Alligator mississippiensis: one gene and its partners. The protein of the gene in region 4 interacts with the protein of the main gene of each other region in a pairwise test. Links are inferred from orthologs where the notes say so. Each region holds a gene or a part of one and is shown on either strand. Other genes may lie near its edges. The genes, in order: ATN1, UPP2, NUMB and SIAH1.

The links.
Region 1: the proteins of SIAH1 (region 4) and ATN1 interact in a two-hybrid assay, tested with the Homo sapiens proteins (2 studies listed by BioGRID and IntAct). The link is inferred for Alligator mississippiensis from reciprocal best matches to the Homo sapiens genes SIAH1 and ATN1.
Region 2: the proteins of SIAH1 (region 4) and UPP2 interact in binary tests that used the Homo sapiens proteins (3 or more experiments, as listed by UniProt). The two-hybrid records come from large-scale screens. The link is inferred for Alligator mississippiensis from reciprocal best matches to the Homo sapiens genes SIAH1 and UPP2.
Region 3: the proteins of SIAH1 (region 4) and NUMB interact in a two-hybrid assay, tested with the Homo sapiens proteins (2 studies listed by BioGRID and IntAct). The link is inferred for Alligator mississippiensis from reciprocal best matches to the Homo sapiens genes SIAH1 and NUMB.

The regions. Positions count from the first base shown.
Region 1 is NC_081824.1:244,060,994-244,068,264, forward strand, and holds the start of ATN1 (atrophin-1), read left to right. Parts: upstream 1-4,266; 5' UTR 4,267-4,755; intron 4,756-7,271. UniProt on the Homo sapiens protein: Transcriptional corepressor. Recruits NR2E1 to repress transcription. Promotes vascular smooth cell (VSMC) migration and orientation. Corepressor of MTG8 transcriptional repression.
Region 2 is NC_081827.1:222,472,709-222,480,549, forward strand, and holds the start of UPP2 (uridine phosphorylase 2), read right to left. Parts: upstream 3,003-7,841; 5' UTR 2,685-3,002; coding exon 2,659-2,684; intron 783-2,658; coding exon 665-782; intron 1-664. UniProt on the Homo sapiens protein: Catalyzes the reversible phosphorylytic cleavage of uridine to uracil and ribose-1-phosphate which can then be utilized as carbon and energy sources or in the rescue of pyrimidine bases for nucleotide synthesis.
Region 3 is NC_081825.1:236,385,340-236,392,707, reverse strand, and holds the start of NUMB (protein numb homolog), read left to right. Parts: upstream 1-4,360; 5' UTR 4,361-4,437; intron 4,438-7,368. UniProt on the Homo sapiens protein: Regulates clathrin-mediated receptor endocytosis. Plays a role in the process of neurogenesis.
Region 4 is NC_081833.1:53,966,633-53,974,175, forward strand, and holds the start of SIAH1 (E3 ubiquitin-protein ligase SIAH1), read left to right. Parts: upstream 1-4,531; 5' UTR 4,532-4,790; coding exon 4,791-4,881; intron 4,882-6,699; exon of another isoform or gene 6,700-6,857; intron 6,858-7,543. UniProt on the Homo sapiens protein: E3 ubiquitin-protein ligase that mediates ubiquitination and subsequent proteasomal degradation of target proteins.

The DNA of each region.
Region 1 (7,271 bases), on a different chromosome or scaffold from region 4:
GCTGCAGCCCAGCTCCTATCCCAGCGGGTGCACAGACTAAAAAGTTTGTGCGCGGCCAGCCTTTTACTTGTGCGTGGTCGCGTACGCGCACCTTAGAGGGAACCTTACTTGCAAGCCTATTGAGGTTGGCCTGGATCACAAACCTATCCTCAAGTTTGGAGACTCTTCCCCAAAGTTTGGTGTTGTCAGCTAACTTGGCCAGTCTGCTTTTGCACCAGTGTCCAGATCATTTATAAATACATTAAAGAGTACAGGTCCAAGAACAGAGCCTTGGGGGACGCCACTCGTCACTGAGTGCCATGTTGATTCAGTTCCATTAACTACCACTCTCTGGGTCCGACCTTGGAGCCAGTTCTCCAGCCATCAGATTGTGGAGTAGTCGAGGCTGCAGTTGCCCATTTTTTCCATGAGGACATCATGGAACACCGGGTCAAAGGCTTTTTTGAAGTCCAAATATATGACATCAACCTCTTCCCTCTGCCAGTCAGTACACCTGCCCCCATTCTCGCAAGCAACAGTTCACTAAAATTCCTTGGGCACTCGGCTGGGGGGCTTGAATGGGGCCATAAGTGGGCAGGGGGAGGCATCCGGGAGCAGGATGGGTGGGCAGCCAGGGCCAGGACTGGGATTGTGGGATGGTGACTGCATGGGGCCAGGGCCCTGGGCAGACCTATGATCCACTACTGACGTCCTTGCAATGGGCACTGGTTCCAGGCAGGGGCATGTAGGGAGTGGATCGTGGCTCTGTCCCCAGCTCCAGCCCCGCACTGTCACTGGCTAGTGGTCCCAAGGTCTCTATGGAGACCAGCCGGGACCTGTGTGGGCAGGGCAAATGTCTAGACAGACAGGATGAGGCCACCTGTGGGCAGGAAGAAGCATCCGGGGCTGGGATCTTGGATGGTGATAACTTGGCACCAGAGCCAGGGGCAGAGCTATGATCTGCTCCCCACAAGTCCCTGCCCACAGAACCTACACTCGTCATGGGGCCGTGTGGGCAGCAGATTGCAGCTCTGCCCCAGCCCCATGCTGTCACTGCTTCACAATCCTGCCCCGTGATCTTGACCTCATCTGCCTGTCCTGCTCCCAAATACCATTTCCTGCCTGCCCGTGGCCCCATCCCATCCCATCCCATCCACCTGGCCTGCCTGCATGGGTCCTGCCCCCAGTGTTGGGTGCAGGGCAGATGGGCTGGGGTGCCAAGGCAGTGGGGCTGGGCCCAGTGGTGGTGGCAGCTGGAAGGAGCCACCGCCACTGGGGTTGCTGGGAAGTGAGTCCAACTACTGCACCGCTCCAGCCCTGCTGGGTTTCTGAACTGACTGCACATGCCACAGCCTGGGCTGTGCCCTGAGCCTGAGCTATGGGACCTGCCACAGGCTGGACAAAATCCCTTAGTGGGTCAGACAGATCCTACTCTCAACCTGTATTTTGCCCACCTCTGAGGTAAAGGATGGTCTCATGGAGAATTAGACTGTATTTTTACCTTTGCCATAGAGTTCTTATGCGATGTGGAGCAAGACACTTAATCCAGGTTTTCACTGGTGTCCCTAATGCTTGGAAGAAGATCATGAACTTTTGCCAATCTACCTCATTATCCTTCTTCAAAAACCTCATTAAATATGATGCCTACAAAAATTTGACAGTGGTTAGGCTGTTAGAGTTATGAGACTACTGCCTTTCTTTCTGTCCAATATCATCTCATTATTTCTGGCATTTCCTTTTGAATCTATCTATATCCCTCTAGGCAGGGATATTTCTTCTGTTCTGTATTTGTTCAGTACCTAATACACTGGGATCAAGGCCCATGAATGGGTCTTCTAGGTTCAACAGCTATACAAATGTATTCCTTATTTTCTGGGGCCTAACTTGAAAAAACACTTGGACTCTGATAAGTACAGGAGACAAGCATTCACAACCATGCTTTAGAATAGATAAATTAGAGGAGTGTTCTGAACAGATAACGTGCTATTAATTGCTAGTACTCTGAAAAGTCAGACCATTTCCAGTTGGTCACTCCAACTATATGGACACTTCTGACAATTTTAGTATTAATCGTTGAGCCTTAGTTCCCTGTATGTGAAATAGGGATAATGGTAGCTTACAGGAATATTAAAAAGATAAGTTCATTAACATTTGTAAAGCATCCAGATATTATGGTGATGAGCATCATTGAAAAACCCATGAGAAAAGTAATAATTCTGTGTTCATTGCAGGGTTTGGATGCCGTACAGTAAATAACGCTTGGAGCCACATAATGAATGATGAAGATAAAAATAAATATTGGCTATCCATTCAGTGAGTGCTGTTCAACCTGTGCACAGAAAGAAGCAGTAGTCCTGTGGAAAAAATAGAATGTGATAGTAAAATTAAAATCAGAATACATATGCATAAGGGTCCCAAATTAAAGTTGTACTGGCAACCTTAATTCTAGCACGTCCTAATTTTCAAGCACTTGACTTGACAATCTGGCATTCTTTGGGGTTTTCTAGTACAGTAAAATATCATTATAACGTTAGAAACATTATGGCACAGTTTGAGGCCTCTATACGTGCACTTAAGGAGCTATTAGGTGTTGCTGATAGGAACATCCTTATCTACTGAACTTAATCCAGCCAATGAAGGGTAACATGGTCTTGGTCACTTGCACTCTTTCTTGCTCAAGCTCTCTCTCCCTCCCTCTCTCTCTCTCTCACACCCACACACTCATGCATACCCACACACACACTGACCCACCCAAACACACGTATGTGCATGTGCACACCTACCCACCCAGACATGTGCGGATGTGCACACACCCACACCCACCATTTCCTTGTGTCAAGGACTGACATCTCCAGATGAAACCAATGGGAGCAGAATCAGATCCTTCTCTCTCTCTCACACAAAACAAACATCATTAGCCACTTCATTTAATTACAACCCTTTCTCTCCAAAATAGTTAGAGCATGTATTTTCAATAAAATTGAATTCTGGGGATTGTATAAAGAGGCCTTTTGAAGCAGAGGCATGAAAAGAAACACCTGATGAAACCCTAAGACTGAAAAATTCAGGGTCATTTTTAATGACGTATAACTCAAGCAGTCTTTTTGCTGAGATGAATTCAGCAGTCTCATAAACCTCCTTTGCATTGGGAATAAAGGTGGCAATTTTCAAATTGAAATAATTGGGAGGCTAAAGGAAGGCCTGGGTTGGAAGCTTACTGCAACCTTAACTCGGGAGAAGCTCCCCACTCCATAATAAATGGTGTTTTGAGGATGCCACCAATGTATTTTCACTCCTGTTCACTGTGTGGGTTTATCGTTTTGGACTGGAATCTTGTATTTTCTAAGGCATACAGCTCTTGGGCCTCGTTGCCAGCTGCATATATTTATCCGTTCTTTCTGCGTGTGCCTGCCTCTGCTCCTCTCCATCCCTCTCCTCCCCACAGTCTCAGGTACAAAGGCGCGGATTGGGTTACAGGCTTCTCCATTCTTGCAGGGCTGAGAGCCCTCTCTTGGCCTCCACACTATAGACTCTCCCTTTGTGCCGTTGCTTGGTAACTGGGAAAGGGGGATGGGACAGGCTCCAGGAGGGAAAGATGGAGAGGGGAGGGGGGTGAGCAATTGAAGTGTGTGCAGTTTGTGTAATCCTTCAGGCAGACTCTGAATGCTGATTAGATCCAGGCCGGTGAAAGCAAAGGCCAGGCATGGAGCTGTGGCCGGCCGGTTTGCACAGGCACCGCTGACCGGGCTGGGGGAGGATGCCGGCTCCAGGCACACCCTTGGCGCTGGGAGCGGCTGCTCAGCGGGTGGCGGTGCTGGAGAGCGGCCGGGAGGGCGCCAGGCTCCAGCCCCGACCCGGGCAAGACAGGGGCGGGCAAGTCTTGAGGCCGGAGGGGGGGCCTTGGCTTGTAGGGCGCCCTACAAGACCCCTCTCCCTCCCCCCGACTCAAGCCTGGCTTCAGACGGGATTAAAGGGGGCCGCCTCCCGTGGGCAGAGAAACAAGCTCTCAGACCCGCACCCTGTGGCCCTGGCGCTCCTAAGGTGCCGCCCGCCCGCCTGGCCCGGGGCTGGGGGTGCAGGCCGGGACTCCCGCTCCGGAGCGATCCAAGCCGGCTCTTCCCTCCCTTTCCTGATGCTGTTGCTCCCGGGTCTGTCTTGCCAAAAAAGCTCCAGGCTTCTCCCATTCCTTTGTACTGGGGCTTGGGTGGGAGGGGGCTTGCGGGGAGCCCGAGGAGTGGCACTGAGCCGGGGAGGGAGGCTGAGGGGCCCGGGGGCAGCAGCCGGGCCTCCACCCAGGGGCCCCGGGAAGGGGGGGCGCCGCGGGGCAGGTGAAGGCTCCCGCCGCCCCGCACTGCGTGTGCGTGTGTGTGCGCGCGTGATCGAGGGGGGGCAGCTGGGAGTGGGGCGCACCCCCTCGGCCCCAGGGGCGGGGGCTGTAGCGGGCCGGCCCCCCTGCACACACACGCACACGCACACGCCTCCCTGCCCCTTCCTCCCTCCCGCTGCCGCGCGGAGCGGCAGGATTCCTCCTCCTCCCCCGCTCCCCCGGCGGGCGCGGGGCGAGAGCCGCGGCGGACTGGGATGGCGGGCGGCGGGGCGCGGGCGGGCGCGGGGGCCGCGCGGCGCGGGGGCCGGGGCCGGGGCCGGGGCAGAGCCGCCGGCGCCTGAGCGCTGCTGCTGCCGCTCCTCCGCCGCCCCGGCCGGGCCCTGCGGCCGCTCCGCCACCCCCGGCGAGGACGGGCGCCTTCCCCTGCAGCCGACGGCTCCGCAGCGCCGGTGAGTCCGCGCCCGGGGCGAGGGGCGGGGGCGCGCGGGCAGCCCCCAGGGGGAGAGGGCGGCACTCCCTGCTCCCCCCGCAGCGGGGCCGGGGCTGGGGCCGGGCCCGAGCCGCGCCACAACAATGCTGGACAAGGAGCAGCAGCCCGGGCTGCCGCTGCCCGCGGACACCCTTGGGTCTCACTTCGCGGCGCTGCCTCTGCCCGCCCGGGCCGCTTGGGGAGAGGAGAGCGCAGCGCGGCGCCCCCCGGGCAGGACGGAGCTGCTGGCCCGGGCGCTGCCTCTCCGCACGCGCTTCAGGGCCCCCCCACCCATTCACTGCAGGGGGTGCCCCAGGGAAGAGACCCGGCCTGCAAGTGGGTTGTAGCCTGGCTTTCCTGGCCCCTTTGACCCGGCTTTTCTGGCTTCTCGGCTGGGCCGCTCATGTGTTGAGGGCTCGGCCTCTAGTCTTGTGCCTGCTGCCCCCATGGCTGGGGCCAGCCAGTTGGGTTTTGCAGGGAGCCCCCTGGGCTGTTAGCTGGGGATCCTCTTGGGCATGATCCCCTTTGGGCCACCTGCCCTTTTGTGCTCGGTGACTGTCACATTGCTACAATGCGACTCACTTGCTGGTTCTTGCATTAGCCCACCATCATTATTGTTTATCACTGAGGTGTATTTGATTGCCTTTTCTGGTGGCCATTGTGCCATCTCCGTGTTGACAGAGTTGCTATTGTGCTGGTCAATGAGCCGTGGTAGAGATCATCCTCAAATCGAAGGACTGCCGAGGACGACGTTTTGGCCAACCTCTTAGCATTATTTGCTTTTTTTTCCTTTGTGCTCTGGCTCCCTTGGCTGTTAGTTGCCCTACTGTTACTCTGATTGCCCCATGCTTCGTGGCCAGTAGGGCTCCTCTGCCCTTTTCTGGTTCTTCTGGAACACTGAGTCCTTACACAGCTTCAGTATCTCTGGCCCCAGTTGTACTGGGAGGATTGCCTGAGATTTGATGTGCCTCCTGAAACTGAAGGAGAGGGCAAAGACGACAGGGACCTATGGAGAGGGGAGAAAATGGCGAGTAATGTGGTTTGCATGTATGTGCATTCAGAGGGGTGTGCGCTCAGTGTTGGCCTGAACAGTGGAGTACTGTGTGAAGAATTGAGATGCTTCATGAGTGATGTATTTCACATTAGATACCAGGTTGAAGCGTTAATCTGTTGTGATTGTTAAAGTTCCCATCACTTTCTGCAGGAGTTGGGGTGCTAACCTCAGTGCTCCCACCTCAGTGCTCTCTATGGTAGCTTGGTTCTGCCTGCCGAAACCGCCCCATAGTTGTTGTGAGATTCAGTGCTCTCTTTCACTCCCTGCCCTTTACCATTGTGCAGCATTGCTGTATGACTGTTAAAGAACTAAATGCCCTGTACCCCAGAGGTAGACAAATTTAAATAAGCAGATGAAGTCACTCCTACAAAATCCTGACTGACATCAGGGGGGAGGTTGTGAACAGGAGCTGGTCAAATGATTTGTTGGGATTAATTTATCTGAGAAATATCACTCTTTTCTCCTTGGACTGTGTCATTATTTTCACATATGTTACTTATGATTATGTAACAAATCATCTGTGAGAATAAATGTTGGCCAATGGTTGCTAATGAGCTGCTTGAAAGGAGAATTTGCGCCATGTGGTGAGACCTCTAAGTCACAGATGATGGTTTCTGTTTCCTGATTGGAGGATCTGGTCTTCCTAGGCAGGAAGACCTCTTTTCTCTTTGTGGTCTTGGGGAAATTGTTCGAATTCTTGACTGAGCTTTTCAGTATGGCTCTGAAGGAACCATAAAGCTCGCTGGTAACAATACATCTCACCCAATCATTTGCAAATTTAATGTCTCATGAATCCTAATGAAGGGGTTCAATGGGTTTAATCTGTTCTAGTATTTTTCCTCCTCAGGCTTTGCTCCCCTCAGGCAAATTCAGTGGGCCCTTTTATCCCCACCTTATGGCTTGTCTACACAGGAATACCAGTATAGCTCCCTGTTTGGGCACTTTTATTCCTGAATACCAGGGATCAAAAAGGAATGAATGCAATATGACTATAGCTGCATTCCTATACAGGTATAATTACATCAATACATTTTCTCCTGTAGAACAGCGCTTACCTGAGCTTCACTGAGCCAGATAAGTTTGGCTCTTCTGATCTCTTCTGAGGGTTCAGTCCCTGTAGCCCCTTGTGTCTTTCTTTAATTCTTCACTGAGTTCCCTAGAGTTTGTTGTCATCTTTCTGGATTGTGGGTTGTAGAGCTAAGCACAGTATTCCACGTGAGGTCTCCCCACAGCTCTATAAGGAGAAATGACCTTCTTCCATCTTTGGGTCAGAGGAACCCAGATCAGAGTGCAGTATTCAAAGAGCTGTAGAGGGAGGGCTTGTCTCTTCTTTGAACTGAGACAATAATGGACAGACTCCTGTGTCACTGCACATGCCCACACAGCAGTTACCTGACCATGGATTTGCTATATTTGGCATTTATAGTTTGCAGTCCTTTTCC
Region 2 (7,841 bases), on a different chromosome or scaffold from region 4:
CTTCCCCTGTGGAACTCCACTGATGGTCTTATGCGCTTATGCTACTTTCTTATGGCAGACTTGAAACTTGGTTTTACTGAGATGTATTTTATCAAAAAGAACTTTTTATTTAGGTTTCTGAGCAGATTAGTGAATCACAGAATTATGTGGGTTTCTGTGTGAAAAGCTCTTGGGATAGGATTCTACCTTTCAGAGCAAAAATTCCTTTGGGAACAGCGGCTGAAGGCATTCTGGGATATAATTTAGCTCTGCTGTCATGGCAGCAATGGGGCACATCCTTCTTTCCTTACTAATAAAACACATAGACTTTGAAATGACACCTATGATGATGGGCCACGTTCATCCCTTGAAATCAATGTTCTTTCTTTTACTAAGTCAGTAGAACTACTCCAGGGAAGAAAGTAGCTCATTGTGCCTGTTATAAGTTTAGCTTTTGCATATACATCTTTTATTGAGAAAAGAAGGGCAATCTCCATTGCCGAAGCTACAGCACAGTTTCTCAGTTGCTTCTCAGAAAGGCAGCATTTCCTGTGGGAGCTTTAACTCATTCTCCTCGAAAGAGCCAAGGAGAATGATAAAGGGATCTGTAAAATCTGTGATAAGAAAGGGGAGGAGGAATGAGATTATTTGTGTTCCAAGTTGTCGCTTTGCATTTGTTGTTTACCTTTATGTCACCAAACATCGCTGGCAGGTTGTGTGTTTTTGTTCCTAAATCTAAGTGATAGAGAATGTCTTCATCCATCAGAGCCAAATGAGGATTTTTAACATGAACAAACCCATTTCTGGAGGGGGAAAAAACAACTTTTAAGAATCTATGTGGACAAAGTCAAATCAAACAAGGGAATTCATGACATCTGAGCCAGTATCAGGACTATTATATAGTAATTTGGGTTGCCTTGTTATAATGCTATGTATGCCCAAGAGACCTAGGCTATGTGTCATAGGCCCAACCACTGCGGGGGGAGACCAGGTATTTTCTTCCCATTCTGTAGATGTTCCTCTTAATATAACTTCAGGACTCTTTCACCCTCTCTTAGTCCCCAACAACTTTTATGCAATTGCACCACTACTCTTTTCCTGTAGTTGTAATTGGCAAGTAGAAAAGAGTTGTATCAAGAAGCACCCCCATTTCTGCCACTGTGATAGCAGACAGCTGGATCTGGCATTGTCATTTCTAAGGCAGGGCTGAAGTGTGGTGACCACAGAGGAACTCATCAGAAGAGGTCACTAGGTCTCACTAGCAAACTGTAATCACTGTTACAGAAGGAATGAGTGGAGTGGACTGCTTAGGCTTCTTCTTTAATGCACAACCAAAGGATGAGGGCAGGATCTTGAGGGGGAAGCAAAGTAAAGGGACAGGGATGAAAGAATGGAGGTAGGGAGAGAGACTGAAGTGAAGAACTGAAGCGAGAGAGAGAGAAAATAAGGCAGTGCTTAGGTGAGAGTAAAGGGAAAAGGTAAAAATGATACAGATCACAAGGGGTGTAGGCTAGGGTGAGAGGGGTGTAGATGAGCCCAGACACACTGCAGTGAAGGAAGATCAGAACACGTAGGAAAACCTTTGAGGCCGCAAAAGGGAGAGGGAAAATGGAAGGAAACAAGATGAACAGGTGAAGTTAAGTCTGGGAAAATGCACCCATTCTGCCAAAACCTAAGACCACTGCCACAGGAAGAACAAATACAGACATCAGGCACTATGGGAACAGAATGGAAAGAACTAACAGCTCAGATCTTAAGTAGGTGAACAAAGTGGGGAGGTGGCAGGCCAGGCCACCCCACTGCATTCATCTATTCATTCAGCAACAAAGAGCTTCCGTATTGTATCCATTCCACATAAATGGTTTCCAAGCCTGGTCTTTCAGCTGCCACCTATATCTGGGATTCAAATCCAGCTTTACCCACGAACTCTCCTAGCCCTTTCATTGCATTCTGCACTGGCTACTGTGCCAGCAACAGCTTGTAATTTACTGCCAAGACTTTGTTTCTGGTCCCCTCTTGGGCTTTAAGCAGCTGGTTCCTCACAGGCTTCTATTTCGAAAGACTGCAGTAGGTGGACCCAGCCCACGTACACTTCCTGCATTACAGCCAGTGGCTGTTGTGGTAATGTTTAGGGAAAAATCTTACTGTTTTAATTATTGCCAGATAAATGGCCAGTGAAATATTTTCACTCTCAGTTAAAACCTTAGTGTTGCATTAATATTTTTCTTTGCATTTATACAGTTATCAGAAAATATGTTGTAATTATCTCCAAAAAAGTTCTGCAAAAAGAAAATTACCATTAATATTTCCTACTAATCTTAACAATGAGAAAAACCTTAAGTCTTTTTTAACACAATTCATCCAGAAATAGATGACCAGTAATATACTTATGCCCTAATTCTGGATTAGTTCATATAGCAGAGTTTGCTAAACTCTTAACAAATGATGTGATTCCATGTTGTCCCAAATCCCTGTCCCAAATCCCTGAATTAGATCTTAAATTACAATAAAACTACTAAGACAGTAGAGTTCTACTTTGCATTCCTTTTCCAGTTGCTATAATAAATTTAGCAGGACTAAATACCAGTGAAGGTCAATATTTAAATAAAGGCTAGTGCAAAACAGAAAATGCACATCTAATCGTATCAAAACAGATCTCAAACTCTCTCCTTTACTTACCCAGCATAACCTTTTTTTTCAGTCATTACGGGTTTGTTGGATTCAGCAAAGAGGGATGTTATGAATTCCCACTTTCAGAAAAACACTCCTGGGTTGACTCAAGGTAAGGAAAATACCTTCTGTTACTTCAGCTGCTAAGTTTTAAACTCATGTAAGACTATTTGAAGCAGCTCCTCAGGAAGTTAAATACATTCCAAGATAAGTAATGCAACTTTTTTCCTTCTGATATATTCTATTCAACCCAACAGCAATGAAATATTCCTTCTCCTGTGGATGTGTTACTTGTTTGAGAAGGCCTTCTATAGATTGGCTGTTTTTGAAGGTGTGTTACTTCTAACCTTAATTCACCTCCCACTATTATGCTAAGGTAACACAAGGGCCAGAGCTAGTTAACCTCTTGCTGCTGATATATTTACTCTTTGCTCGGGGTCCCGCACTTGGCAGTTATCTCTGCATATGACTCACATGACTCATGTACATTCTGAGAGCAAAAGCATCTGAGAGTGCAAATTGCCTGCCTGATCTCATAGGGCACTGACAGCAGTGACACTTGTTGTGTGATCAGCCCCCTGAAAGCACTCTACAGCGGTGCCATGACATAAGTGCATGACTGCAGCCCACGTTAAAAGTGGCTGATCACACAACAAATTAACTCTCATCTAATGGGGGGTCCAATGAAAGTTTGCAGTACCTTAGGGAACTTCTGAGAGGAGACCCCTCAGGGGATTTAGTGCTATATAAACTTTGCCTAGTTTCTCGATACCCATAAGGCTTTGGCAGCAGCTCAGTGCCTAGCTGCTCAGACTGGAGCAGTACTGGGCATGCACAGAAGGCTGAACTGAATGTAGAGAACTTTCAGGCCAAACAGGGAGATCTCAACTGAGTCAAGGCACCCCTTGAACAGGTGACTGGGGTATATTGCACTATAGGACCTAAGTGCCAAAAGTTTGCCCAAGTCTTGTGTTAGATGCCTGATTCCTTTTCTGGATCTGGCTCACTCATTCATATTAGAGCCACTTGAAAGTGAAAAAATTGGCTGCCAGTTCCATTAAACTAAGCTCTGGCACAAAGGTGGTACTACTCTATGCTTTGGTAAGCACAACATTTGCAGCTCAGAATGCTATTTCATGATATTTAAGCTTTGTCTACACGTTCCTCTGTCTACATGATGCAGGAACATGGAAGAGGTTGGAAATGAAAAGTTGGGTGGGAGGCAGGAAGAAAACAACATAGATTCATTAGATTCATAGATTTGCAGCTCTTAGGAATATGCAGTAGAACAAATTGCTTCATCTAAACCTGTAGTGGTTTAGGAGAGACTGATGTAGTGATGCATCAGCACTGGAGCAGAAACCTTTGTATCAATCAGCAACTGTTTTCACCTTTTTTTGTTCTAAAAGATGTTTCTGACAAAATAAAACAATGTGGCCAAATCAGCAGGAAAGTCTGCTTCTAACAGGTTAAACTACAAGATCATCTGACCCTTCTTGAAGGACACTATAAACACTTAGTTCTTTGCTGGGCATTTCTCCCATAAATGTTGTCAGCACTTTGATTCAATTTCAGATGGGTGTACACTTGCATTTTAAACATGTGAACTGTCTTTTCAGAACATAAAAAAGACTGAAGGTTTTAGAGCTGTGGCCTGTTACCTGCAACAATATTAAACCCTGTTTTAGGCACTGACTGGAAGGACAGAAACTTCTCATTTGGCATTTACATTTGACTATTACAGGTGAAAAAGTTGGCTAATTAGGCAAGTGTGGATGATTGGCTACTCCAATGCTTTGAGCTCATAAACATGTCTGAGTCTGTAGCCAACACATTCAATCTGCAGCAGTCTTAGATAATTCTGCTATGATTTATGTGTCCCATGTAGCAGCTCCCTTGGTTATTACGGCAAATACTCATCATTTTATTGAACCACTGAATAGTCATGAAGGATCTATAAAAATGGACAGAGTGCTAATGAGAGCCTCCTGGGCAAGCTTCACTTATGCAAAAGGCTTGTTCTAATTTTTAAAATCTTGTCTCCACTTTCCCTTCAGTTGGAACCATTCAGGATTGTAATTAGAGCTGTGCAAACCCTCCAGGGCTTGACTGGCGAGGGTCTTTGCAAAGTCAACTTTCCATAGTACAGTCTGCAAGAGGTCAGAAGGAAAGACAGCTCTTCACGTTTACCTGAATGCTTGAGTCAGGCCATTTCAATTACCAAGAGACCTTCCCATCCAAACACCCCAGTTTATTCCCACAGCTCAGCTTTAAACATTGTGAATATTGGGATCTTATAACAGTGGGCCAGTTGACCCCTCTGGCCCTTCTACTGCTTCTTGGGCCTGTTTTCCCATCATCCCCACAATTATCCTCAGGGTCATTATCAGCACCTAATCCTCACAATTTTCAGCTGTCTCTGGACTCTGCAAGAAATCCCACACCCAAAAGATTTTGGAAAAAGACCTCTGCAGCTCTATGTTAACCCTGGGTAGCTTCAAACCACAGTTTAACATGCTTAATACAGAGTTTTCAGAGTGGAAAATGTATAATTTCCATGTTACACTGCACTCTGAGCTTTCAGCATGTAGCATCTAAAGATGGTAAAACATTTTGCAAAGATGAGTCAGCATTATGAGCCAACAGTATCGAAACATACAGGTAATACAGTCAAGGTAAGGATGTGTCTTATGTGCTGGAGAGAACTTCTCTTGATCTCTTGTAAAAATGAGTATCTCCAAAGTTATTGAGGACTACACATGCATTGTTCTCAGTCTTAAATTGTATACTTTAAACAACATAATCACTATAGTTTTCAAATCAAAGACATAAATGTTTCAGCACACTGCATTTAATGCAGAGATTGTCATGAAAAATAAAATCTTTACAGTTTTGGCTAATTAACGTTACTTGTTAGAGAGAATACAATAGTGAGGTTAGTTACTTGCAAATGGCAGTTGTAAAGATTTTAAAGAAGATGAGATCACAGTATAAAGGTGCCAAGTGGAATTGTTTTGTTTCCTTTGTTGTATTTTTGTCTAACAAATTAGAAATGTGATTCTCCTTATTCAACAGTTCTTCTGATGCATTATTCAAATTCCTCTGTTGTGACTAAAATATTCTTTCCTGTTTCTATTTGTGCTTTTTAGCCCTTTAGATAAAACACAGCTGAGGTGGAGTGAACTGGTTTCTACACCTTGTGTATCAAACAGAATTGTTTACTGGACTCCAATCAGCTACAAATGTGCAAATACACTGAAGTCAATTGAGTTGCACAGCTATTGCTAAGGGAGTAATTTGGCCTGAGGAATCCTTATTACTGGTTGTGATGCATGAGATGGAAAGAATACAGCTTGTGTGTCAGAGCCCAGATGAGTTTCTAGGACTAGGAGGAAGTGTTGTGGTCTCTGCTGGTAATCCAGTATGTTTGATACAGAAATCATTGAGACACAGAAGAGAGGAAATCACATCATGCTATTATTTACCTTTGCAACTAAAACTCAATCCAGAAATGGCATTTGTAAGTGAGAACAGGTTTCCAGGCCTGACAAAGTTCAGAGAAGGCGGGATATGTCTTCACTCTTACGAAGAGATGCAGTGGTTCCTGAGAGATGCCCACTCTATTGTTGAATGCTCATTCTCCTACTGTGTTGCTGAAATCCTTTCAAAAACACTGTGCATAAATGTTGCCCTTAAAATGCTGCTGTTTTTTGGGGGGGTTTAATTGTGCACTGTGCTGTCCTAATGACAGCAATGTGTTTAGTCTGTTTTAAGATTGAGCCAATCAGTAGAAGTTGGGGGACTAAGTAGTTTTTATATTATACTATTTAGAATAGAGCTGAATTGTTAAGAGCTTCTATTCTGTCAGTTTAGATTAAACCCATTTAAGGCTTTATCCTAATGACTTTTTTGGTTTTATGCTGACATTTTCAAGGGAGACTAAAGAAATTGGGGACCTATGTCCCACTGAACATCAATGATTTCTGAGCACTTAAATCAGTCAGGCTGCTTCCTGTTCATTTACCAAAGGGCAGTGTGGTCTGGAGGAGACTGCGGTAGGCTGGGCTTTGTGTATCCTGAATCCAAGGCTCAGCTCTGCCGCTGGTTTCTTAGGTGACTTTGGGCATTTGCTTTCCTACTTTAATTGCGATGCAACTGCAAGCAGTATAACTACTCTCCACCCTGAAAGGACAACAGGGAAGTTAGAAGAGGAATTTCTGTTTCAAGTCCCTGTTACAGTAACTAAAAATAGAAACACAGTCACACTGTTTATAAAAGATGATTTATTGTATTATTTCCGAGTCTTCTTTCTTATATGCTGATATGTTGCTTATCAAACTCTCAGGGTGTCAAAATGGCACTAAGTCAATTGGCACTAAGTCAGTGATCCCTTTGTATTTAAGATACAGAGGTTAACCAGTTCTTTACACACCTCGTTTCTTAGGCCCACTTTTTAAAATGCTGAAAGTCTTGCCAGGCAGCCCTTTGCTACGCTGGTTTAAGCCTGTCTAGACAGCGCCCTGCGGCAGGGTATGGAAAACAGTTCCATCAGCAGTAGCATTTCTGTATTGCATGGTATCTCTATGGCTGGAGTGGGCAGTAGTGGTTCTGCCACAACACTTTTTGCCTCATCGGAATAAATGTGGTGTATAACTCAAAACTGACATAATACTAGATTCAACTCTCCCTTGTGTGCTGCTTGCTACAGAAACCTTTACCATGCCTTACCCATGATTACCCTATGGGCTGTTAGGCTTAGGAAAATCTTTGTGTCAGAACTGGGATCAGGATGCTGAATTCTGTTTATTACCCTGTCACTGCCCCTGCATTGCAACTAGGTAAATTGATTAAAGCCTGTGGTTGCTTATCTAAAAAGCAAGATGCTTCCCTTCCTCGGAGGACTATTGCGAAGATGTATTCCTTAAAGTTTGTGAAGAACTTTTGAGATCATCCAGGAGAAGGCACTATAGAAGTAGAAGCTAAATTATTTATAGGAAAGTGTTTCTAACTTAAAGAAAATCAAATTTGAAATATATGCCTAAAAAAAAGTTATGAATACACAAACTCATTATTAATTATTAAATTTGCCTCTGAGTTCATGTCTCAAATGTATTTTGCCTGCCTAGTCATTTACCTGTATGCAATTTGCTCTAAAATATTTTAGAATGCCTCTAGCAAATCCTGTACCTGCA
Region 3 (7,368 bases), on a different chromosome or scaffold from region 4:
ATGCATTACATTGCTTTGTTCATAAAATGGATTTTGGACCCCTTTCAAAATGCAAAATCTACTGCATACCAATTTGTCGTTTACTCCTTCAATAAGTTCCTAACAGAAGAAAATGTCCTATGATTTCACTGATTCCTGTATGACATGACTATATAATTTTATTTATACTGAGGATTTTCTGACATCCTTCCATGCTCTGTCTAGCAGTACAGTATTAGCAAGGTGGAAAATTCAGTGCAAACAGGATGCATGTGTTTTAACAAGCACATCATTGAGTTCTGTTCAGAGCAATATAGGAAAAAACATCATTAACTTTCTGTCCTGTCTTTCACCTTTGCTAATACAGGTGGGGCTGTGCTGATGCTACAGAAACATTGAGAAATGTTAGGAAATTCTTGGGGCCTGTTTGAACATACAAAGCATGTTGCTTTATACCTGTGTAGTCAAAGTAGTACAATTCTTTCTGGACGTACTTATACTGTTAAAAGTATAGCATACTGTGTATGCTAGTATAGCTTATCCCTATAAAGAATGAAAGAATGATAGAGCATCCTGGCCCTCATTACGTCATACACAATGAGATTACATAAGTTAGATTTATTTTGTAACGCAGAGGGCCAGTCAGAGAAAACTAAGGTGAGCCATATCAATATCTGGTTCACTGCAGTGAAAACGTGGGGCTTGTAAAATAATAGTAAATTCCTAAATTATAGAATCCTTAGGAGAAATGGTACAGATTTTATTTCTTCCTTTGTAGCTATGGAAAGGTCTAGAGTTAAACTGAATCAATTCACTTCTGCTGGGTAGAAGTAAGCAGGACTCAAGGAACTGAGTCTACAACCCTCCAGAACCCGTGAAGCTCCACTCTATTGTGATTGTTCCTAGGTTGATGCTTTTGGGACAGGGCAGGAATAAAAATTGGGTGGAGTTTTTGGATTTGCTATGTAGACCCTGCTAGCCATTCATAACCCCTAGAATTCATAGGTTATCGTGGGGCTGTCCAACCGACAGATCCCAAGGGGTTAAACTACAGTCCCTGGACTCCTGATCCAAGTGATAACTCCTCCCTTTGTTCTCTTGCTGCTGTTGCCAGAGTCCCAAGCCTCTCCCTTCCTCCTCCAGCTTCCACTGCCTGCCCCCACCCCTGGAGCAGTGAGGCCAGTGGGGCTGAGGGACCCCATAGCTAGAGGGCTCAGGGGACTTGGGGACCTCACACATGTTGGAGTTGGTGGGATGCAGTGGGAGTGGCCCACTGTGCAGCAGTAGGGGACTATCACATCCGTGCATGTAGGGGGTCTGCATAGCAAGGCATGCCTATGTGGTGGGGCTATGGTACACTGGGGGCACATGCACTGTGGGGAGCTTTCCCAGTGCATTGTGGGCCCATGCAGTGCAGCAGGGGGGCTTGCATGGTGCAGTGTGCAGCCCATGCGGCATGCACTGGAGGTATGTGACCTACACAGTGTGTGACTGGGGTCCGGTGACTCCTGCCCATTCAGAAATTGGACAGTCCTAGGTTACTGTATCATCAGGTCTTGCGCCTGACATTAGGCCTTGGAGATGGATTTGTTGTCCTGCATCCTTGGAAACCCTCTCCAGGAAGCTCATCTATAGGCTGTAGGAATTGGCCCCCTGACCATCATAATGAGTGAGAGTGTGGTTTAATTCAAGACTTCTTTTATGGCTAGCTTTCCTTCATCCTCCCTCATGTCCTCTTTTCCCCATCTCAGTCATTAGTGGCTACCTAGGGCAAGTCAGCAGGCAGCAGCATTAACAGAACCAAGAGAATAGCTACAAGCAGGTACATTAAAAAAATGCAGATATGCTTGGAGATAGGCATATATTTGGACTTTATCGATTAAAACTGTAATGTATTTCTTTGACAGTAGTGTCCTTGGTTTGTCCTTACCAGTTCATGGCTACATCACATGTGAAAGTTGAGGTCACTTGTAACATGACAATCTTTCTCTTGGAATGAAGGTTTAAAGCTCAATACTTTATCTCAAGTTCTATGTCAGCAACAGAGAGTCCAGAGTCTAGCTTTGGTAAATATGAGGAAGAGCTAAATTAAAGCCACCTGGAACATAACATATCTAAGGAGCTATTCAGGTCACAAACAATGTTAGGCTTGTTAGGCTTCAAAAAACCTTAAGATCAATGCAAACATTCCCTTAATTTTTAAACATTTTTAGTTCAAGCAGTTTAAATATATTTTAACACATACTGAAGTTATACACTGGTGAGTGTGTGAAAACAGCAGTGCGGAAGTAACTAGAGATGAGTGTAAAAAGAAGTAGAACTAACCAGTTTATTTTCACTCACCAAGCTGAGTCATATGTAAAAAGAGGGGAAAAAATAGATTTCTGCTTTCAGTGTTGATAGTCTAACAAAAGGTGATTTTGTGGTTGAGTCACTTGCTGAGGCTCAGAAAATCAGAGTTTACTTCTCACTTCTGCCACTGACTTCGTATGTAATGATGAACAAGTAATTTAGCCTAAGTTTTAAATATGGATATTGGTTTTAGTTTGCCTCATTTGTGGATGCCCACACCGAAACACCTGAGCTCTGATTTCCCATTCCTCCATTCCTTTATTTGATTCAGAAAAAGGGGAAAGAAGAGCTTTAAGTAACCTTTGCATTTCCTGTTTCTGGGGGAGCTCAAGGCTGCCCTAACTTGTATTTGGATACAAGAGCTGCCCAAGGCCATTCACAGAAGGCAAGGAATTCTTGGCTAGTGCTTCCTGGCTCTATACCTTCTGCATGTGGTTCATTTGGGTGCTGCACCCAAAACACTACCACTGTCACTTCTTGAAGCTGACTTTCCCTACTGAACAGTAGCATAAGTAAATATGGGTGTTGTGGCAGGAGAGTTCTTGCAGGAGGACGGAGGTGGGCCCAGGCTCACACGGTCATGCTCAGCTTCCAGCTAGTTGGCACTAAGGCTCCTTGTCAAAAAGCAAAATGTAAGCAGATTTGTGCCAACTGGGCAGCACTGCCTGGCAAAGATGGTGGGCAACCCTGGAGCTCCTGAGCATCACCAGGCTGCGACAGCAGCAGCAGCAAGCCCCAACACCCTGGTGGGTATCAAAGCTCAGGAGAATTCAGATGCCTAAACTTAGGAGTCCCTTTTCTGCTGAGACACCCCCACGTCTGGACCATGAAACACTTCTTTCTTACGACATTGTAGGATTACAACATTCAGAGATTAATATCTAAATTTGATAACCATTTGGCTGCTTCAAGGGTAGCTGCATGGATTTTTAGATCATCGTTAAAAGGTCTAATTGGGCAATCATTCACAATGTGTTGCATCGTCTAAAAAAATCGCACCACAATCGCAACCCGGATTCTCTTTGGTTCTCCATTTATGGAGCAGGTGTCCACATTTTCCATGAAGTGTCTGGTTGCGATTCAGGGAGGACCAAATCTTTCTTGGTAGGTCAAATCCTAGCTGGGGAATTGTAGGGTCACTGACAATGTATTTCTGTGGTAGGCTGGTATTTGCCCAAGCTTCCCTCCATTGTTCTTTGGTGCTCTTGTTATCATCATAGAGCTTCTTGGCATATTTCCAGAAGGGTTTTCTAGATTTGAGTCTATCCAGGGGTGGCGTAGAGATGTCTTTGTTGATTGGGAGGTTTGGGTCACAATAGCTTTATGGTAGTCTCTCACACATGTGGTCTTGCGGCCGAGCTGTGGGAGAGCAGTGTTTGCTGGGCCTGGGAGCCGTGGCAATGGCGTACTTTTAGTGTTCCTGATATAATCCGCATAGCTACAGCTCTAGGCAAAGCCCAAAAAAGGGTTTCAGTTGCATGGGGCCCTTTCCTTCTATACCGGCATCAAGCTGAAATCCCTCATGCTGCACTTGGCTAGGCGCAGGTTCCCGAGGGATGAGGCGGGCACAGCGCCCCCTCTCCGCAGAGGCGCGGGAGAGGCTGCGCGGAGCCCACGAAGGGTTAACTCGGCCCAGGTGCTGTCTTCTCTGCCCCTCCCTCTCGCCTGTGCGCCGTGCAACCAACCTTGCCACCGCCACCAGTCTGCCGACCATGCTGCTGAAGGCGGGAGGGAAGGGGGCAGGATCAGTGCAACAGCTGGCAGCCCTGGCAGCCTATCTTACCTCTCAACCTCAGCAGCTTGAGCCAATCCGGAGGACGAGCGGTGAGGGGGGGGGAGGAACGGGGGTGGCAAAGCCCCCCCCCACTTCGAGTCTACCCTCCCTTAAAGTGAATAGGTGGGTACTAAGTGGGGTGGGCGGGGCCGAGCCGTGACGAGCAGGCGCGCCGAGCAATCGAAGCCAACCAGGCGGGCGCGGGCGACCAGTAGGTTGCGCGGCTGGGCGGGGGGCGGGGACTGTTGTCAGGGGGGCGGTGGCAGCGGCGGCGCTGGTGTTGGGTGGCGAAGGGCGGCCGAGGCGGCGCGGCGGGGAGGCGGCGGCGGCAGGTGAGTGTGGCCGGGGCCGAGACCGAGGCCGAGTCGCGGGGCAGGATTGGGTCCGCTGGGGGGGGGGCGGCGATATCCAGCCCGCGGTTCGGGGGCGCCGCCGCCGCTTCCTGCCCGGGGCCGCCCGGCGCCGTCCCCCCCGCTCTGGCCGGTGCCGCGCTGGGCCGGGCGGTGCCCTCGGGGCCGGCAGGTGAGGGGCCGGGCCGGGCCGGGCCGGGCCAGTGGGGAGGCTGGCGCCCGGCTCCGGCGGAGAGTGGGGCCGGCTCTGCCGGCTGGCAGCGGTCCCGGCCGCGGCCTGCCCGGCCGGTCCCGCACCACTCTCCGCCTCTTCCCGAGCTCGTGGCAGCTGCTCCGGGCTCCGGCAGGCAGCAGGGCCGGGCCGGGCTGCGGCCGCTGCCGACGCCTCTGCTGCAAGCGGCTGTTCAGGGAGGTCCCTGCGCCTCCCCGTGTGTCCCCCGCGGCCTGGGGACCGTAACAATGGCCCGGCCTGGCCGCAGCATTGTTCTCTGGCGCAGCGGAGCCGCGCGCCCTCGGGCTGCGGGCGGCCGGGCGGCAGCTTCCCACGCACCCGCGGGCTCGTAGTTCCAGAGGAAGAGGAAAAACAACGCTCGCCTCTCTTATCCCCTCCTCCCCCCCCAGTAATCCACGGAGGTTTTCCATTTCTTCATTACTTGGCCCTTCTCCATGGAAACAGCCTCTAAAAAATTGGGATCAATGTGAATTTGTGTCCAGAAACCTGAATCAAATTAGGGCCTTGTGGTCACCCTTGTATGTAAATCTGAGAGCTTTGGTTACTGAATTGATCCTACGGCAACATTCATTCATCTGTAACTGAATTAAATGGGGGCTTGAAGCCTCAGTGAAAGCTCTGGTTTGCAAAACTCGAAACATTACTACACACTCGCACTCTTGTACACACTCTCACATCCAGGCCTGCACGCACACTCTCACATGGCCACGCGCTCAGTCACATTCACACTCTCTCGCATACGTGTGTGCTTTTTCCTGCCTTTTAGGATGGACAGACCCTTGGTATCAGTCATTTAATCTGTTATCAGCCACCAGTTTGCTGTTCATAGTGACAACTATGTTGTTAACTCTTATTTCTCTTTTTAACTGCAAGTAGTGAAGGCTGAAAGAGACTCTAAACAAGACCACTTAAAAAGGGCTGGGGTATTTTCTATCGTGATACCATGAAAATGTCTTTCTGATACTGTGGCAGCAATTACCAATCCCAAGCACGTAAAAAAAAAAAAAAAGTTATATGGTTTTGTGGTCTACCTTTAAAATGACACTTTTGGGTTTGACTAGCTTTCTGGTCTCTTGCACCTTTATAGTAGATTCTTTTTCACAGCCATCCAGGCTAGAAACCGTTTTTTCCTTAGTGAAGGCTGAGGCTTGCATAATTGCTTGCACCCATGCACTGGGGGCCAGACTTGTGATATGAATGCAAGGGTTGACACCAGCCCTGTGATAAGAACTCTTGTCTCTTGCCTATAGTTGCTTATACTGACTTTCTCTTGTTGGTGCAACTGCATTAGTCCTGGAAAACAATTGTGCTTTCCCAGGGTAAGTGTACCTTATAAAGGCTTTGTCATTTGTCTTTGTGGAAAAAAGATGGGTTTACAGAACATCAGAAGTTTGGAGAAAAACTAGTTGGTCTATAAAGATTTTGAGGAAGCCATCTTCAGCTTGTTCATTGATCTGGTAGCTGTCTTTGGGCAAGTTTTAAAAGTTGTTGCTTGTTCCTAGCGCAAACATGGCTATTGTTACCTGTCTGAGTCAGTGGGTTTATTTTAATCTGTTAGCTGATCAAGGCAAACTCCAGGCACCAGTGTGCCTTTTACCTGGGCTAGCATACATTAAAACTATGACCTGTTCATCTATTTTACTCACAATGCTTCTTGTCAAAAGCTTTGTGATTAAAAAGTGTTTTGAGGAATCTGATAATTTTGAAGGGTGTGTTATCTCTATACCAGCAATTGATTGAATGTGGGTGGTAGATGTTTCGGGCCCCTTTTTGAGGATGGTGTGAAGCCAAGCCAAGCAGTCATACCATTGCTCTAGAACAGGGGTCAGCAACCCCCGGCACATGTGCTGAGCATGACACGCAAGGCCATTTTGCTTGGCACACCACCGCCAGCCTTGGTGCTACTGTCAGCCTCGGAGCTCAGGCTGCTCCCAGCAGGCAGCTGGGAGGCTGCAAGCCGTGCTGCAACGGGCTCTGTGGGCTGGCTGCAAACAGCTGTTCCAGGCTCTGGCATGTTGACACTCCAGCATCTTCCATGTTAGACGTGTTTTTTTCAACACTCCGGCCAAAAAATGTTGCCTACCTCTGCTCTAGAACCAGAAGTAAACCTTAGCTTTTATGTGTGTTCTTAAGAAATTGCTTTGGGTCTGTCTTCAGAGTCAAATCTTTGAGTCTTCAGATTTTGAGGTGAAATTTTTATCAACTTTAAATCATGGTCTAAAAGGTCATCAGCAGAAAGATTTTGGATTTGCATAAAGCAGTTCAGAAACTTCTGGATAGCCTGCCATTTCTTGAAAAAATTAGACTTGATTTTTTTTGATGTGTTGGATCATAAATGCAGCCCTTTTCTGGCTGCTTATGTGTTAGTTCATGTGCCAAAAGAATCTCTGAGTTGTTTTGGATAGATAGCTTGTTGGCTTGGGCATCTTTAAGTGCAAGTCTAGAAAGCACAAATGCCATCAAGCCTGCGAAGATGGAAATTGTATATTAGGACATTGGGCCAGGAATAGTTTCTAGCATATGATAGCTAAACTTGACCTAAATGTGACTGCCGCTTTTAGTCCAAACAAGCCTCAAGGGTAGATCCTGGGCAAAAATGTGGGCTTTTGGGGGTTTGTTTATTTTTTGATTCATTGTATTTGTTTTTACTTGAGTTAGCTGACCTTGATTAACACTTTTTA
Region 4 (7,543 bases):
CTCAACCTTTTTGGACTCTAACTTTTCAGAATTTAGCAGCACTCTATTTAAAAAAGCTATTGTAATTGTAGTATGAATATTTTATAAATAATATATTGATCCAATTAATAATTGATTATTTTATTGCATGATGATGTATGCAAATAATATAAGTATACTATGCACCCCCTTAGGCCTCCACAGGGGAGCACTCCCTTGGCTCTGCCCTGCCCAGAATATGTTTACTCCTGGCATGGTTCGTGGATTCCCTACATATGGCTTCAAGCCTCGTCTGGGAACTGTCAGGCCAATTTCTCCCCTTAGCTACCCCAGGGTGATTCCCCTGAACTCTAGGTGAAGGGCTCTACCCCTGGGCAGAGCCTGGGAATGCCTTTTGGCCGGACCTGGCTCCACCTGGCCAACAGGGAAAAGGTGCCGGGCTTCACATGTGACAAGTTGGAGGATGTCAAGAGGGTTGGAAGAGAAGGGGATGGGGCAGCAGAACATTACAAGGCCTGAAAGGTGGCAGGCCTTGGTTCCTCTGCCTGGGGCAAAGTAAAGAGGGAAGGTTCACTTGTGTGGGGGGACTGCTAGAAAAGCCTGAATCTGCAGTGGGGCAGGCACTGAACCCAGAGTTTGGTAGTCCATGACTTGCCTGGAGCTGGCTGCTCTGGTGGCCTTGATAGAGTTGATGTGGAGCTGGTTGCCCATGTTCTTCAGGGACTGCAGTAACCTCGTCTGGACCTGGCTGGGCAGTGGTAACAGCCTCAGAGCAGACTGAGGGAAGAACCCATGCCCCACCTTCCTGCCACAGAGACAGACACCGATGCCTGCTTACTTGGCCACAGACGAGCATGCACAAGGCCACCCAGGGGAGGGGCATCTGTGGCAACCTTAAAAGGATCTTGCAGTATCCCAGGGTGCTGTGGGGCCCTGGTTGAGAATCACTGATACTGTAGATCATATGTAGTACATCTAATAGTGCTAATATTGAGTGGTGCCCTGTGGCACTCTGCTGTACCCTTAAAGAGATGCCACAGCACCATGGTTGTGAATCACTGTTTTAGTGATCTCAGAGAAACAGAATTATAGGTAAGCAATTTCTTCTTATGACTGTACAGACAGACTGAAATCAGAGAGGCTCAAGCAGAAATGTTAACTCTACCATCTGCCAGGTATGTATTTTGTTTTTTTTTCTGTTTTTCTTCGGCTTTGGTTAAATTTGTAGCTTTAATGTATTGCTTGTTGTTGTACACCAAATATGCACATGGGTATAAGTTAAAGTTCTGAAGGCAATCTTACTTTTTTGCATTTTTCTTGACTTCTTGGAATTACTTGTCCATTCTTAACATTGTATATATGAGATTACAAGACAACATTCTTTAGTAAAAAAAAAGCTTCTCTTCATTAAAAGCAGGCAGTATTTTTCCCCGGTTTTGTTTACAGTTTGCACTTCTACTTTGGGCGGTGAAAATTCATTAAATAGTTCACTGGAACATTAACATTTCTGAAAACTGGAAGAATGTTTAAGAGCTTCAGTAATAGAGTAGACTAAGGCCCCTGACAGTTCTTCAGTTTAAGAAGTGATGGGATTTCTAATCCATGATCCTACCATGCAGGACATGTGATTTTGGGTTTGGAGATTAAATCCCAGTTGTGCCTTACTTGCTGGTGCAGGGGAAAGCTGGGAGCCCAGGCTCATGATCCCCAGCACTCCTGTATGAGCAAGATGCAACCGGGATGCTGACAATCATCTGATTGTCAAAACCCCAGATGGAGGGCACAGAGACCCTGGGATTGGTTGCTGGGAATTGGTTGCTGCAGTCCAGTTCTGGGGTCCCTGTGAGATGGGAACTAGTAAAAATGAATGTGCTGCTTGGCTGTGGACCAGGCATGGTTTTTTTAAGTTATGACACACAGGGAGCCTGGCAGCAGGCTGCTGCACCCTGATACCAGGCTCTGTGTGCATGGGGAACTGTATAAATCCTGTGCGCTCCCCAGCTGGGTGACACACGGGGTTTTCACTTCTCCCTAGAATGTGGCTGCAGCAACTGATGCCCAGTTTTCCTTGTGCTGGGATCTATGAAGCCACGTGTAGTGCCCAGCTGGGTGGTGCACAGGTTTTTGACAGGTCCCTGGGCACAAGTGGCCACGTGTTCAGTTTAAGGCATGATAGAAATGAGCCACAGAGTTATGCCAGTATCTTTTAAATATCATTTTCACAATTGCTTTTTTTTTTTTTAATATGAGGTCATAACTTCCCTCCCTTCGTTCTTTACAGATAAGTGACTCCCAAAACAGTATCCTTGAAACAGTCTTTCTGTTGCATGCCTCTTCTGTCTGATGTCTTTTGCACACTGGCCACATGTTACCCTGTTATATTCCTTTAGGAACTTCAAAATTTATTATATAAATACAGCCCTTGACAGTATTTAAATATCAAAGTGTAAAGACTGCATGGCCCAACACACCCTTTTAAATGTTTTCTACCTTTATCTCACTCAAGTTGCTTTTTAACTACTATCCAAAGTCTTTTGTACTACCAAATTGGATGGCTAAAACACAACTTATTTTTGTCTTGAACTTTAATATTGTTAAATGTTTAGCAGTGTACAAGATTGTTTATATTTGAGTGAGGAGGTGGGTGGGAGGGTGTATGTGTGTTGGACCTCTGGAAATTGCAAAACCAGGATTATCTTGGTCTATGCATGTGTAAAACTTCCAACTTTGGAGGCATAGCCTGTTATGTTTCCTAGCTTGCTTCCTTTTTCATGTTGATATTTGTACTGCAGTTTAGTCTTCAGTGGGAATATTCCATCTTTCTATCCAACCTCTAGCTCCCTCCTCCTGTGCATCTGCTTTAACTGCTTTCTCTCTGACTGCTTCTTTACATGTGAATATATACATGTTTCTCAGTTTAAGGGGAAAGAAACTGAAGTTCAGCTTCCATTTTGCTTAGGGTGCCTAAATGGATCATTCCTGAGGACTTATTTTCTCTCCCTTAGTTCAGTCTCCCATTTGTCCCCTCTACCTCATTGGACATTCACCCTGCCCCTTAATCTGGTCCTTGTTTTTCTTTCTTGAGGTGCATGAAGGTGTGTAGGGGTGTAGGTTGTAGCCGTGATGGTTTAAGGACATAGGCAGGCAAAGTTATTTGGATAAATCCGATACCTTTTTATTAGACCAACTAAAATAGGTGGAAAAAGATCTCAGATTTGCCTGAAGGTCTGTAGGGTTTTTTGTTTTGTTTTGGCTTGCTTTTGACCTTTTTAGTTCAGGGCTTGAAGTATAAAAAAGATGTTGCAAAACTAAAATTATTGGGAAGCTGAAAGAAAAGAGGATCTTTTAATTAGGCTTTTAATGCCGTTGCCTTAACGTGTATCTAGATGTCTTAACCAGCAGCAAGGGATGAATCTTTAAGCTGTTTGCCTTTTCTTGGTAGGCAGGTGATGTGCTTTTTGTTAACTTTGTCTTGATCACGTTACTATAACACGATTGGAATAACTTGTTTAAGGTCCTGCTTATGCTGGGATTTAAGGGGTGATATGAACATGTTCTAAAAACCCACAAAACCTGCTGAGGGGCTGTGCATCTCTTCTGGGAGAAGCTGCTTTATGCCGTATTGAAGAGCACAAGAGCTACTTTAAAGAGCTTTTTAATTCATTCTCAAAGTATACAGAGGATGTAGGGTCCGAGCTGCTCTGGTCTGCTGGAAGGCTCCTTGAACACCAAAATAATTGGCAACTTTCTCAGTCCTTAACTGAACTGGCTAGATACTGTTTTCCCCTTCCCTATGCGTGTTTGGGTGTGTTATGAGTACAGTATTAATAAAAGCCCTTCCTTCTGTTACTCAGACTTCGCTGGATTCGATGCTCAGAGGTTATCATGTCGGTGCTATCTCATTGGCCTCACTTTCTTATCACTGGATTGGTCCAGCTTTTTACATCTGGGGTTTTTCTGTCCTACCTCTGAACTCCGGCTGTTCTCTCCCTGCGACTTGGGCTTTGCCTGAAGTCTGTGACAGCTTTTATTTAACCAGTGATGTGACTGGGGGGTGGGGAAGAAGCGTTCGCACTGTTCTGGACTGACACCGAATCAAATGAAATGGTTCGTGAGGTGGCTGCCCCGATCCGAAGCAGAAATAGGAAGCGAAGGGGGAGAGGCCCCTCGGTGCAATGGGCGCGGAGTTGCCCACAAGTAGCCGAGCGGGCCGGGCTCCGGGTGTCGCGAGCCCGGGAGGCTGCGATGGGGCTGTCCGGCCGCGGGGCCTTGCAGCGCCCCTTCTCCGCGGCGTCTCCTTGGCTGTGGCGGGCGATCGGCCCCGCTGTTTGTTAGCTCGCCGGATCATGTGAGCCCGGCGGGGTGGGGTGGACGCCGCCGCCTCTCCCTCTTCCCCCCCCCCCCCCCCCCCCCGGCCTGTGCTGCCAGGCCGGAGCTAGGAGGAGCTCGAGTAGCGCCGGGAGCCGGGCCGGGCCTCGGGCAGCAAATGGCTTTTGCACAGCGGGCCTCGCACGGGGCGCGGGAGTGCCCGGCTCCGCTGCTCTCTCGGGCCCCGCGGCCGCGTCCCGCCGGCCCGGCCCGGCTGCCTGCGCCCGGCGGGGGGCGGCGCGGCCGGGGCCGGGGGCCGGGCGCCCCGTAGGGGCGGGAGGCGTCGGGCGCGGGGCCGGGAACCATTTTGGGAGGGAGGCGGAGGTGCCCGGCGGTGCGGACGCTGCTGGCTGCGTGAGGCGGGACCCGGCTCGGCTCTGCTGCCGGGGGAGGCCTCGTGTTTTTGTTTCTATGGGGAGACGCGATGAGCTGTTTCCCTCCTCATGACGGGGAAATCCGCCTTCAGCTTTCTGTACCCGTGGAAGGGCGTCCTCTCCGCGTGCCTGCCTGGAAGTAAAGCCGGCAAGAGGAAAGGTAGCAGCGAGCTGCGCGGCGGGACGTGGAGCCGGGGCAGCCCCAGGCTGCTTCCCGGCCGGCTCCTCGCCCGCTCGCTCCCTCCCTCTCGTCAGTTCTTTCACTGCGTTACGGAGCGTTGTTTTTCTTGCTACATGTTTACAAGGTGGTTTGGGCAGATGCGAGACCACCTACATAGCTGGAAAAAATTGTTCTCCGCCAGCTTGGGGCACAAACACCCTTCGGGCGCAGGGCGAGTCTGCTACAGCCAACACCCCCGGCATTTGTACAACTCATTTCTTCCCTTTATTTGCCCCCGCTGCTGTTAGTTCCACTTGAAAGTGTTTTGAGTTATGTAGTTTGCTCGGTAGAAACTACGCAAAATATTTCTGGTGATGACTCAGTATCTCGGTTTGTCGGTGTTGCTTAGAGACTAATTCCCCCGCCCCCGGTGAGTGGAGACTCCTGTGGTATCTCATGCACGGGACAAACCAAAATAGCAATTACATTTTTTCTTTTCACCTGATCCCGATTTGCTGTGCAGCTTAATTTATATCCAGCCTCGTGTAACTGCAAAAGTTGTTTGCATTTGTTTTTATTTTTCTGCACAACTTCTGGCTGCTTTTCCAGTTATATTTAACTGTTTACTTCAATCTAGAGAAAAATATAGTTGGTTAGCAGAAATGTTAGTGCTAACTAACGGGCTTTAAAAATTTAAACTTGGGAAAACAAACTTGAACTTCTTGCTCTGTTCATTGTTTTGTGTAACTTTTCAGCTTTTTGTAATGGGAATGGAGGTCAGACTAGTAGGGCTTGCAGTTTGGACAGCGCGGTGGCTAATTAGTGGCCCGTCAGGCTTTCTTGAATTGGAAGCGGTTGGCTTCAGTAGTTCCCCTTGAACAAATGTGGTTCTAGGTTGCCTGTTTAAAACAGTGCGATAGTTTAGTCATCTGTGCCAGCATTTCTCAACCCATGGGTCATGATGCAAAAATGGGTTGCAAGACTATATGAAAGGACTGTGAACAAACTTTAAAAAATGGATTATCCTTTAAAGGAGAAAAATGTGCGAAAATGTGGGTTTTCCCTTTCAGGTTGCCAGGGGCTGCTTGGGGCTCCCCTGCCCCATACTTGGGGGCTGGGGCCTGGGGGCACTGGGTTGGGACAGTCTATCCATGTTTACCAAATGGGTCCTGGTACAAAAGGTTGAGAACCACTCTATGTAACTTTGACTTCTGTTCAGTTTTATGAACTCTGTTTGTGATATGCAGGATTTGTTTTCTTTTATGTTGAGAGAGTTTGAACGGGCTGTATATCCTGTTTGTGACTGTATACCAAGGCCTAAGAAAGGAAAGGCTATTTTTTTCTCACCTTGTGTATAGCTGAGGAAGGAAGGAAGAGTTGCTAGATGGTTTCCAAGGAGGATTCACTTGCTAACAACTACCATTTACTGCTCATTTGCTCTCCTTTCACCCCCACCCAGAGAAACTATGGCAGTGTGAGAGCTCAGCATGTTTGAGGTGTGTAGGATTTCTCCCTGGGGCTCATGACTAAGATTTGGTTTGTGAGTAATATTGATTCTTTGTGGATGGGGCTGATAAAAGGTGACAAGGGAGTTGTCACCTAGCCTGAGTGGTAGCAGGTCTCGGGCACATGCAGCTCTTAAGAATAGTGGGAAGCAGAGACCTGCGACTCTTACAAGACTTCAGCATATGAGTGCGTGCCGGTTTCTTTTACAAAAGCCTTTGTGTTTTTCAGCTGTCCAAAGTGGATTTTGGAGGGAATGGATCAAAGCAACTGGGAGGCTTGCGGGGGGGGGGGGTGGGGGGAGGTTGATGGGTGCTGATTCCAGGGCCAAGATATTGGACTGTGGGCCTGCTTCCAAGAAAAGTGATAAACCTGAAATCTTCATCTGAAGAGTCTTAGAGTGACAGGCCAGAAGCAGCGATGAGTTGCTCCATACCAGCAAAGGGAGCTTGGCTACTCAAAAGCATTTAGAGGTACTGGATTCTCTTGCAGTGAATTGATCTCCATTTAGAGAAAGGAGGCCAAGGTCAGGTTGAGAGAGAGCGAGCTTTAATTTCCCTCTCTTTAAGTAAAAGTGCCTCAGTGGGAAAATAAATCCAAATATGTAAGTCTTATGGCTAGCTAATAATAATATCAACTTAGAGCCCCAGAGGTCCACTACTGAGGGCCCCATAATGGTAGTTTTGAATGTCTGAGAGACCCATAAAAAGGTAAGGATTGTTCAGTGCTTCAGCATGTCAGTACAGTACACATCAAGACCCTGCTGGTTAGTGTCAACCCAAGAAAAATCAAACCCTAAGCACTTGGGGCGGAACTAGGGCTGTGGGAGCTGTGTATGTGAATCAGATAAGGTGCATGGGTAACAAGGAAGTGGTTCTTAGATGAGACATTTTCCAAGCTCTGGCTATCTCGGGGACTTGTTTCCTTGCCTTGTTCTGTCTTCATGGTGTGCAGCTATCAAAGGTAGATACTTAAACATGTGCAGTCCAGACCTCAGTTATATTGGAGCTGAGTGGGCTTGTGATAACAATGCTTTGCTTCTAGGTTTCTGTAGACTTCTCTTGCTATGAAAAGGAGAACAAGAATCAGGTTGAAAGGTTAGAGAGCTGACACATGCTGAGTGTTTACCATGAAATGGGCATTAGTGTTAGATGGTCAT